Nothobranchius furzeri: one gene and its partner. The protein of the gene in region 2 purifies or fractionates together with the protein of the main gene of each other region. This does not show direct contact. Links are inferred from orthologs where the notes say so. Each region holds a gene or a part of one and is shown on either strand. Other genes may lie near its edges.

Evidence for each region. Proteins that work in one complex are often made in the same cells at the same time.
Region 1: the proteins of pstpip1a (region 2) and wasb purify together in Homo sapiens (affinity purification with western blotting; 3 studies listed by BioGRID and IntAct, with this or other methods). This does not show direct contact. The link is inferred for Nothobranchius furzeri from reciprocal best matches to the Homo sapiens genes PSTPIP1 and WAS.

What each region holds. Positions count from the first base shown.
Region 1 is NC_091755.1:42,288,427-42,292,182, forward strand, and holds the start of wasb (WASP actin nucleation promoting factor b), read right to left. Parts: upstream 2,679-3,756; 5' UTR 2,543-2,678; coding exon 2,441-2,542; intron 1,847-2,440; coding exon 1,706-1,846; intron 1,575-1,705; coding exon 1,488-1,574; intron 1,411-1,487; coding exon 1,314-1,410; intron 1-1,313. UniProt on the Homo sapiens protein: Effector protein for Rho-type GTPases that regulates actin filament reorganization via its interaction with the Arp2/3 complex. Important for efficient actin polymerization. Possible regulator of lymphocyte and platelet function.
Region 2 is NC_091744.1:68,460,870-68,464,055, forward strand, and holds the end of pstpip1a (proline-serine-threonine phosphatase-interacting protein 1a), read left to right. Parts: coding exon 1-24; intron 25-105; coding exon 106-202; intron 203-316; coding exon 317-401; intron 402-480; coding exon 481-557; intron 558-1,966; coding exon 1,967-2,064; intron 2,065-2,161; coding exon 2,162-2,293; 3' UTR 2,294-2,543; downstream 2,544-3,186. UniProt on the Homo sapiens protein: Involved in regulation of the actin cytoskeleton. May regulate WAS actin-bundling activity. Bridges the interaction between ABL1 and PTPN18 leading to ABL1 dephosphorylation.

The DNA of each region.
Region 1 (3,756 bases), on a different chromosome or scaffold from region 2:
TATCAGGTAAAGTTGTTGGAGAAAGAAAGGTAATATTTACTATCATCTCACACTAAACACTAACAGGAACAATACTCTGCCCTGAAAATGCTTAATATGTAGCTTCAGATTAAAAATGATGTGGTACAAGACAAATATATATGATGTTGACTAGTGCGTGTCACTTGTGTGTGTGTGTGTGCGTGTGTGTGTGTGTGTGTGTGTGTGTGTGTGTGTGTGTGTGTGTGTGTGTGTGTGTGTGTGTGTGTGCGCGCGCGCGCGTGTGTTCGCGCGCGTGTGTGCGTGTGTTAAGCCCCGGATGTTCTTCAGTTCTTAATCCGCCCCTGCTGGACTGATTCTGCCATCACTCGTGGCATTTTCACATCTGGCCCAGCCCGGTTGGGTCCTGGCTGGGTTGGCCCATCCCACCATGGCCAGGTTTTGTTTGCACAGCCTTCTCAGGAACGTAGACGTCTCCGAGCATGTAGGCGGGGCAAAAGATGCATGGAGAAGTCCACGGTGTCCTTTTTTCAATTAGTAAACAAAGGTGGCTGAGAGTTGCGTTGCTTTGAGAGACTCTGACATGAAGCACACAGCTTCCTACTGTCTCACTGAGACCGCCACGCGCTCCTCACAGCTGTCTGGCTTTGTGCTCCCACGGCAGGTGTGAGCTGCAGTCGGAGGAGATGTTTACTCCACTGCATCCAGAATGATTATGAATCATGTATGCAGGAAGCCAGCACTGGCTGATTCTGCTTGCCAATCAAAGGCTTTCTCTGTAGGCAGACATGAACTTTGGCCACCCAGTCGGTCCGAAGTGGATGTGTTGTCAGTGCCAAGCTGTCCGCTGGAGATGAGATCTGGAAAAAATGGTCGGCTGAGCACAGAAAACACACAGATTACCCCGATGTGAACACAATTACCCTGCCAGGGATGGACCGGGCCGACCCAGATGTGAATACACCGTTTAGGACATAGAAGTAGGGAGGCAGCAGAGGAAGGCAAGGCTTTACAACAATGTTCCCCCCTGAAGATCCGCCCCCGTTGACTACTATTGATGTAGGGTGCTACAGCCGAGCCCATAACCCAAACCTGTTCTAAATATAAACATGGAAGCGTGTCCTTCTAAACGTCTGCTTAACCCTCTCAGGCTCAAAGTAAGTTATGATAAAAGGACGAACAACTAAGTCCTTCAGGGGTGCTCCTGAGTTAAAACATGCTCATGAAACACGTATGTGGAGAAACCAGGTCGGTAGGTTTTAACGTTGCTAATCTGCAACGCCTGCCTCCGGAGGGTTAAAGCTCTGTAGTGAGAGGAGCAGGAGCGTGCTGACCCATCCGGCTGTTCCGCTGGTTGATTTTCTCCACGACAGCATGCTGGAAGGCGTCTGCCTCCTGTTGGTCCGTGAAGTTCAGGCCCACCTGGCAGTCCTGTTAACTCACCCAAACACACACTCACAATTTCATACTGACACAGTTATTGCCTTGTGTGATTAGTGCGCGCTTACATCTGCAGGAAAGGTGTGAAAGTATTGCAGAGGCGTGAAGTAAGCCATCTGGTCGTACAGCTCCTGCTCCCAAACCCGTTTCCCTGCCTGTGGAAAAAAGTGCCTGGTCAGCGCGTCTGCCCCTCACTAACTCCCGTCACATCTGAGTCACAGCTTCTCCAACGGAGACGTCAGTCACAAAACCTAGAGAGGATGAGCTCATAGATTCTTTATTTGACCTTCAAATCGAACATCCGGATGAAGTAGGAGCGCTGAGGGTTGTCTTTGACGAAGCAGACCACTCCGGTGTGCTGCAGGCTCCATGTGGACGGGCTGTGTGGCAGAGCCATGAACAGCTGTGCTACAGCGGTGGCTGTGGACTAAACACACACACGCACACACACACACGCACACGCACGCACACACACACACACACACCCAGTTGACATGTAAATTTGCTCGTTGCTGGTGGATAACTTCCTCCTCTGCTCTCATTTTTGTGATAAGAGCTCAAAAGGCTCTCTGTCTTCTCCGGATTACACCTGACACACGTCTGATGTCTCACGGCTCTGCCAGCTTACTCCTACGGACGAATGAAGTCAAAAACTAAACTTCTGCTCTGCTGTCAGACCAAACCAGCCATGGCGTCTACATCTGACAGGAGAGGAAGAATCCAGCCAGCCAGCATTTCCTGTTACAGCTGCCTCCGTCATGGTGACCCAACAGCAAATAACTTAACATCACTCACAGCTGCTTACAGAAAGGATCTTTCAGTTCCCAACTCAAAAGGATGATGTTTTAGGAGACAGGCCTCAGCTAACGCCTGCCTCTTCAGCATGTGACGTTTTAGCGGCTCAAAGAGGAGGAAATCTAACATATAGGCAGGCAATCGGAATGCGTTAGTTTTGTTTAGCAGCAGAAGTGATGAATAATAAATTGAACGGTGGGTTATTTCCTCCCGGTTCAGAACTTACAGCACACCTTCTGCCCAGCAGCTCCTCCAACATGTCATTCTCCTGTTGGCTCAGCAAAGAGCTTCGATCGCTCTCTGTTTTACTCTTAGCTCCACGACTCATGACGCCTCTCACAAACCAACATGTAACGGCATCAAAAGTCTAAAACGAAGAGGACAGCGGTCGGAATATTCTCTACGATCCAGGAAGTTTCTCTTCTCTGTTCTGAGCGAGCATCAGCTCGAAGCAGGAAGCAGACAGCCACACTTCTCTAACCCCCACTTGTCTTCTCTCACTCTGACGTGAACGTGTCACTTCCATGTTCAGACAGAGGCAGGGCACTGCTGCTTCCCTCCAGCTCAGAGTTTACATGCATAAATAATCAGCATCAGATGTACAGGAAGTACAAAGAAGAGACTTTTTTTTATTGACAAACAACATTTAAATACATTTTTAAAACGCGCAGGCTCTGGAACAAAGGTGTTTGGTCCAGTCGTACAATAAAAACAATTAAAAGCAACTGAATTGTAAATGCAGGAAATGATGAAACAGTCTGGGTGTTGAATTTAACTGATCGAACAGCTGAATGTGACAGGAAAACAATGCATTCTCTCTCTTAACGTAACAGTTAAATACTCTTTGGTTTGTGGGTTGGAGACGAACAGAAAACAGTTTTTCACTTGTGTGAACCACCTTTCAGAGTCACACAACTATCAGTAACCCTCTGACTGACCGTCGACAACAGCAGCATAATCTCCTACATATTGCACCGGGTTGCATCGGTACCTAAATCATGACCTTGTACAGAGCCGCCTGTCAGTCGTCAGGAGACATAAAAACACATTAAATGAGTTTCATCACACAGAAAGTTGTCTTTAGGTGAAATAAAGTTCCTCCGTGGCGATGCCGACCATCAGCTCCTCGTTGTTACCCGAGCAACATCTTACCAGAATCTTGTACATAAAAAACTAACAGAATGAACAACCTATAATGAATGTTTGTTTAGTAAAAGTTAATGAACAAAAACTTATATGACGTATTATGGAAGTAAATGATAGTGGCTCCGTTTTTCCACCCGGCTCCTGAAACCGGACTTCTGCTTTGGTTCTCGTTTGTCCTCCTGCTTCACGGCCCCACCAGCATCCTTGCTCTGAGCGGTGCATTCAGTCAACGCACAGCACCCATCAGGAAAGCTCTTCCTTTGGGCGAGGCTCTTCACTGTTGTCCTTCGTCGTAAATCACCAAACCCCGGATGAGAACTCGGCTGACCGGTGGGGTTTGTTTGCAGGGTGAGTTTTGGTTGACGTGCTGTTTGGAGTTCCTCTGGTCAGTCTTGG
Region 2 (3,186 bases):
ATGCAGTGTGTGAAAGACGACGAGGTAGGCGTGCCTCATTTTCCTACAGATGTAATGAAACAGTCATCAGCAGCCATATTTCCTCTGGTCAAACTGGTCCCTCAGTGTTACGAGAGCGTGAGGACAACGCTTGAAAGCTGTGACATCATCACAGACAACAACCACTTTGTGGAGGGCAGGAAGACTAGTTCAACCCCCCCAGGTATGCATCACCTGCAACTTTCCTCTGGTGATTTGAATATGTTCCATGTCGAGAGATAATTTAATTGTTATCACGCAGCTGTGGAGGCATAACTTTTTTTTTATCCCCTCACAGCTCCAATTGAATACCAGAATTACTATGATAACGATGCAGCAGACTCAAACGGCAGCGCTGGATTTATAGAAGGAGTCAAGAAAAGGTTCACAAACATTATAGAAAATTTACTTGATTTTTGTTTTTACATTTTTCACTCATTGATCATGTGTTTTAACCATTAGGTTTTCAAGTCTCCTGACAGGAAGTAATACCTTTGGCTCCAAACTCAACATCAATGAGCCTGTTGCACAACCTGCAGGTTAGGTACCAAATTTATTCAAGTTACACTGCAGATTTGGACCCAGACACCTACAAGATTGTAATCTCTGACAAAAAAAAGGTGTAGCAACATCACGTTACAGAACCAAAAGATGAAGTTCATAATAAATATGCAAATCTGAGCTAACAGACTTTTATATTCAATACGATTTAAATTTGCATTCACATATTTTGTGATTAGCTTACAACTCCTGAACAGAAAACCATTATAAATGGTGTTAGTCAAAAAGTATTTAGCGAGTAGACAAAGTACTAGTCAAATGTCCCAGACAGTACTTTGTTGGAATCTTTTGTTAGTAGTCTTGAATCAATCGTTTCTAAACTTTTAGTGTCTTTCAAAGTTTTCTTGGACTATTTGTTGCTTTTTTTTTTTACTCTTTAGTGTTTAAATATTGTCAGGATAGCACTTTTCCTCCTCTTACATACACACACACATTGGCTTTATGATTAGAAGTTCCAGGTCAGTTAGATGCCAAGTGATATTAAAGAGCAAGTCACTCCCTACCAGAGTCTAACTCCACTCCCATTTCCTGTTTGAAAAATGTGCCACATGGAGGAGTTGCCTGGCAGACCGAGAGGGAGGTGCTGCTAACAAATGTACACACACACACAGAGGCTCAAACCAGCATTATGACATCATATGGTACCAGCTAACATCATAGGGTACCTCTTAGCCGATAGCGATGGCAGATTTAAATTCAAATATAGTGCAGACCACAGAAATTTTTGTAACTCTACTCTATTCGAGTATGAAGTTATAGCCATTTATATTTTTTTGGCGAGTAGTCGAAATTCGAGGCCTGGCCACACCCCTCAGCATATACGAAAAGTCAGTTTTATTTTTTCTATTTGATCGCCCATCCCTTCTGAGCAATTTCCCACAACTTTTGAGACGATCGTGCGAAAAATGATCAAGTAAATCAATCAGAAGCGGACTCTAGAAACTGCCAAAACGGGGTCAAAATCACCACTTCAAACCAAAATGGCCGACTTCCTGTTTGATGTTGACCATGGTTGCAAGAGGCTTTTCTGTGCGGACTGCTGAGTACTACAAATGTACAAAATTTCATAACTGTACGATAAACTAAGCTTTATGGAGGGGGGTATTTTTCACATTCTAGGGGGCGCTGTGGAGCTAGTTTTATTGCGATTTTTTGGGGGACCTTTAAAATACAAAATTTTACACCATGCCTGACAGGTGTGCAAAAATTCCTGAGTTTTCGCTTATGTTACGGCCTCCACAAAGCCAGTTTACTTGGCGGAAGAAAAATAAACAGAGCAGATACAATACAGACCTTCGCAGCGCTTTCGCTGCTCGGGCCTAAAAATGCTTGTTTCACAAAAAGACTGATGTGTGATCTATTGTTCTATATCGAATTGTGTCCTCAGCACAAACCTCAGAAGGCGTTTACGCATCCATTCCTGGACTACAGGTGACCCAGGCCAGCAGTGATGAGTACAAAGCCCTGTACGACTACATAGCTCAGGTATGATTCTTCACACAGATTAGATCTTTTCAGACCTAACATGCTTCATGTTTGGTAAGAAACGTCATTGACATGGCTGTTTTGTGTCCCCGGTTAGGGAGAAGATGAGCTCTCTATATGTGTTGGTGATGTTGTGGTTGTTAAGGAAAAGGGCGAGGATGGCTGGTGGATGGTAGAACGAAACGGCATTTCTGGATTGGTTCCTGGTTCTTATCTCGTCCAAGAATAAGTTAGCCTTCTTGCAAGGATAACTCCCATTTCCACACATTTAAGTTATATAAATCTTGTCACCTCAATTTAGGAATCATTTATAAACTGAAGCCCCTGTGATGAGGATATGGCAATATTCCATTTATCAACATTCCTCAAACTTCTAGAAGATTTATTAACCTCCTGAACACGATTATTGCACTAAAATGTATTTAAGCTTTATTTTGTATATTTTATGGTTTGTATTAAAAAACTCAACATAATTTGCAGATAAGTTGTGCTACTGTTTGTTTTCTGAAATGCTTATGAAGTGGTTTTACAACTTTGTACAGAATGAAAAATTCTTATTAGTATGCAAAAGAAAAGTTTGATTATTTATTATTATGACTGGTCTGCTGCAGCAAAAGATATTTAGAAAGTGGAATATAAGAAGAATGCATCAGACCTTATTCTTAGGTCATGCAGCTGATGCATGGTTGAATTTGGTGTCTGGTTACCCTGCAGGGGGGCGAATGGCATTGGGTGCTACACTATAACCACACTGGTCATTTCCTGTCAAACGTTCACAAAGGTTGCCAAGAAATCAAATATACATATGGGTTTAGAGCGAGTTCCAGCTCACAAACATTGCATGGACTTTTTTTTTTTGACATTTAAATAATCTGACCTGATAATTCAATTCAAAGATACTTTATTAATCCCAGAGGGAAATTAGTGTTTCAGTACACACAATTCTGAGATCAGACACACATACATACATAGGCATGACACATGACAAGAATTGGTGACTGTGGTCATTCGCAACCCGAGTCGCGCTACCTTAACAGAGACCAGAGGGTTTATATATGAAGATTTAAAATGGCCTGTATTTGATAAAGTGCCTTCTAGAGTCCTGGAACCCCTCAAGGCACT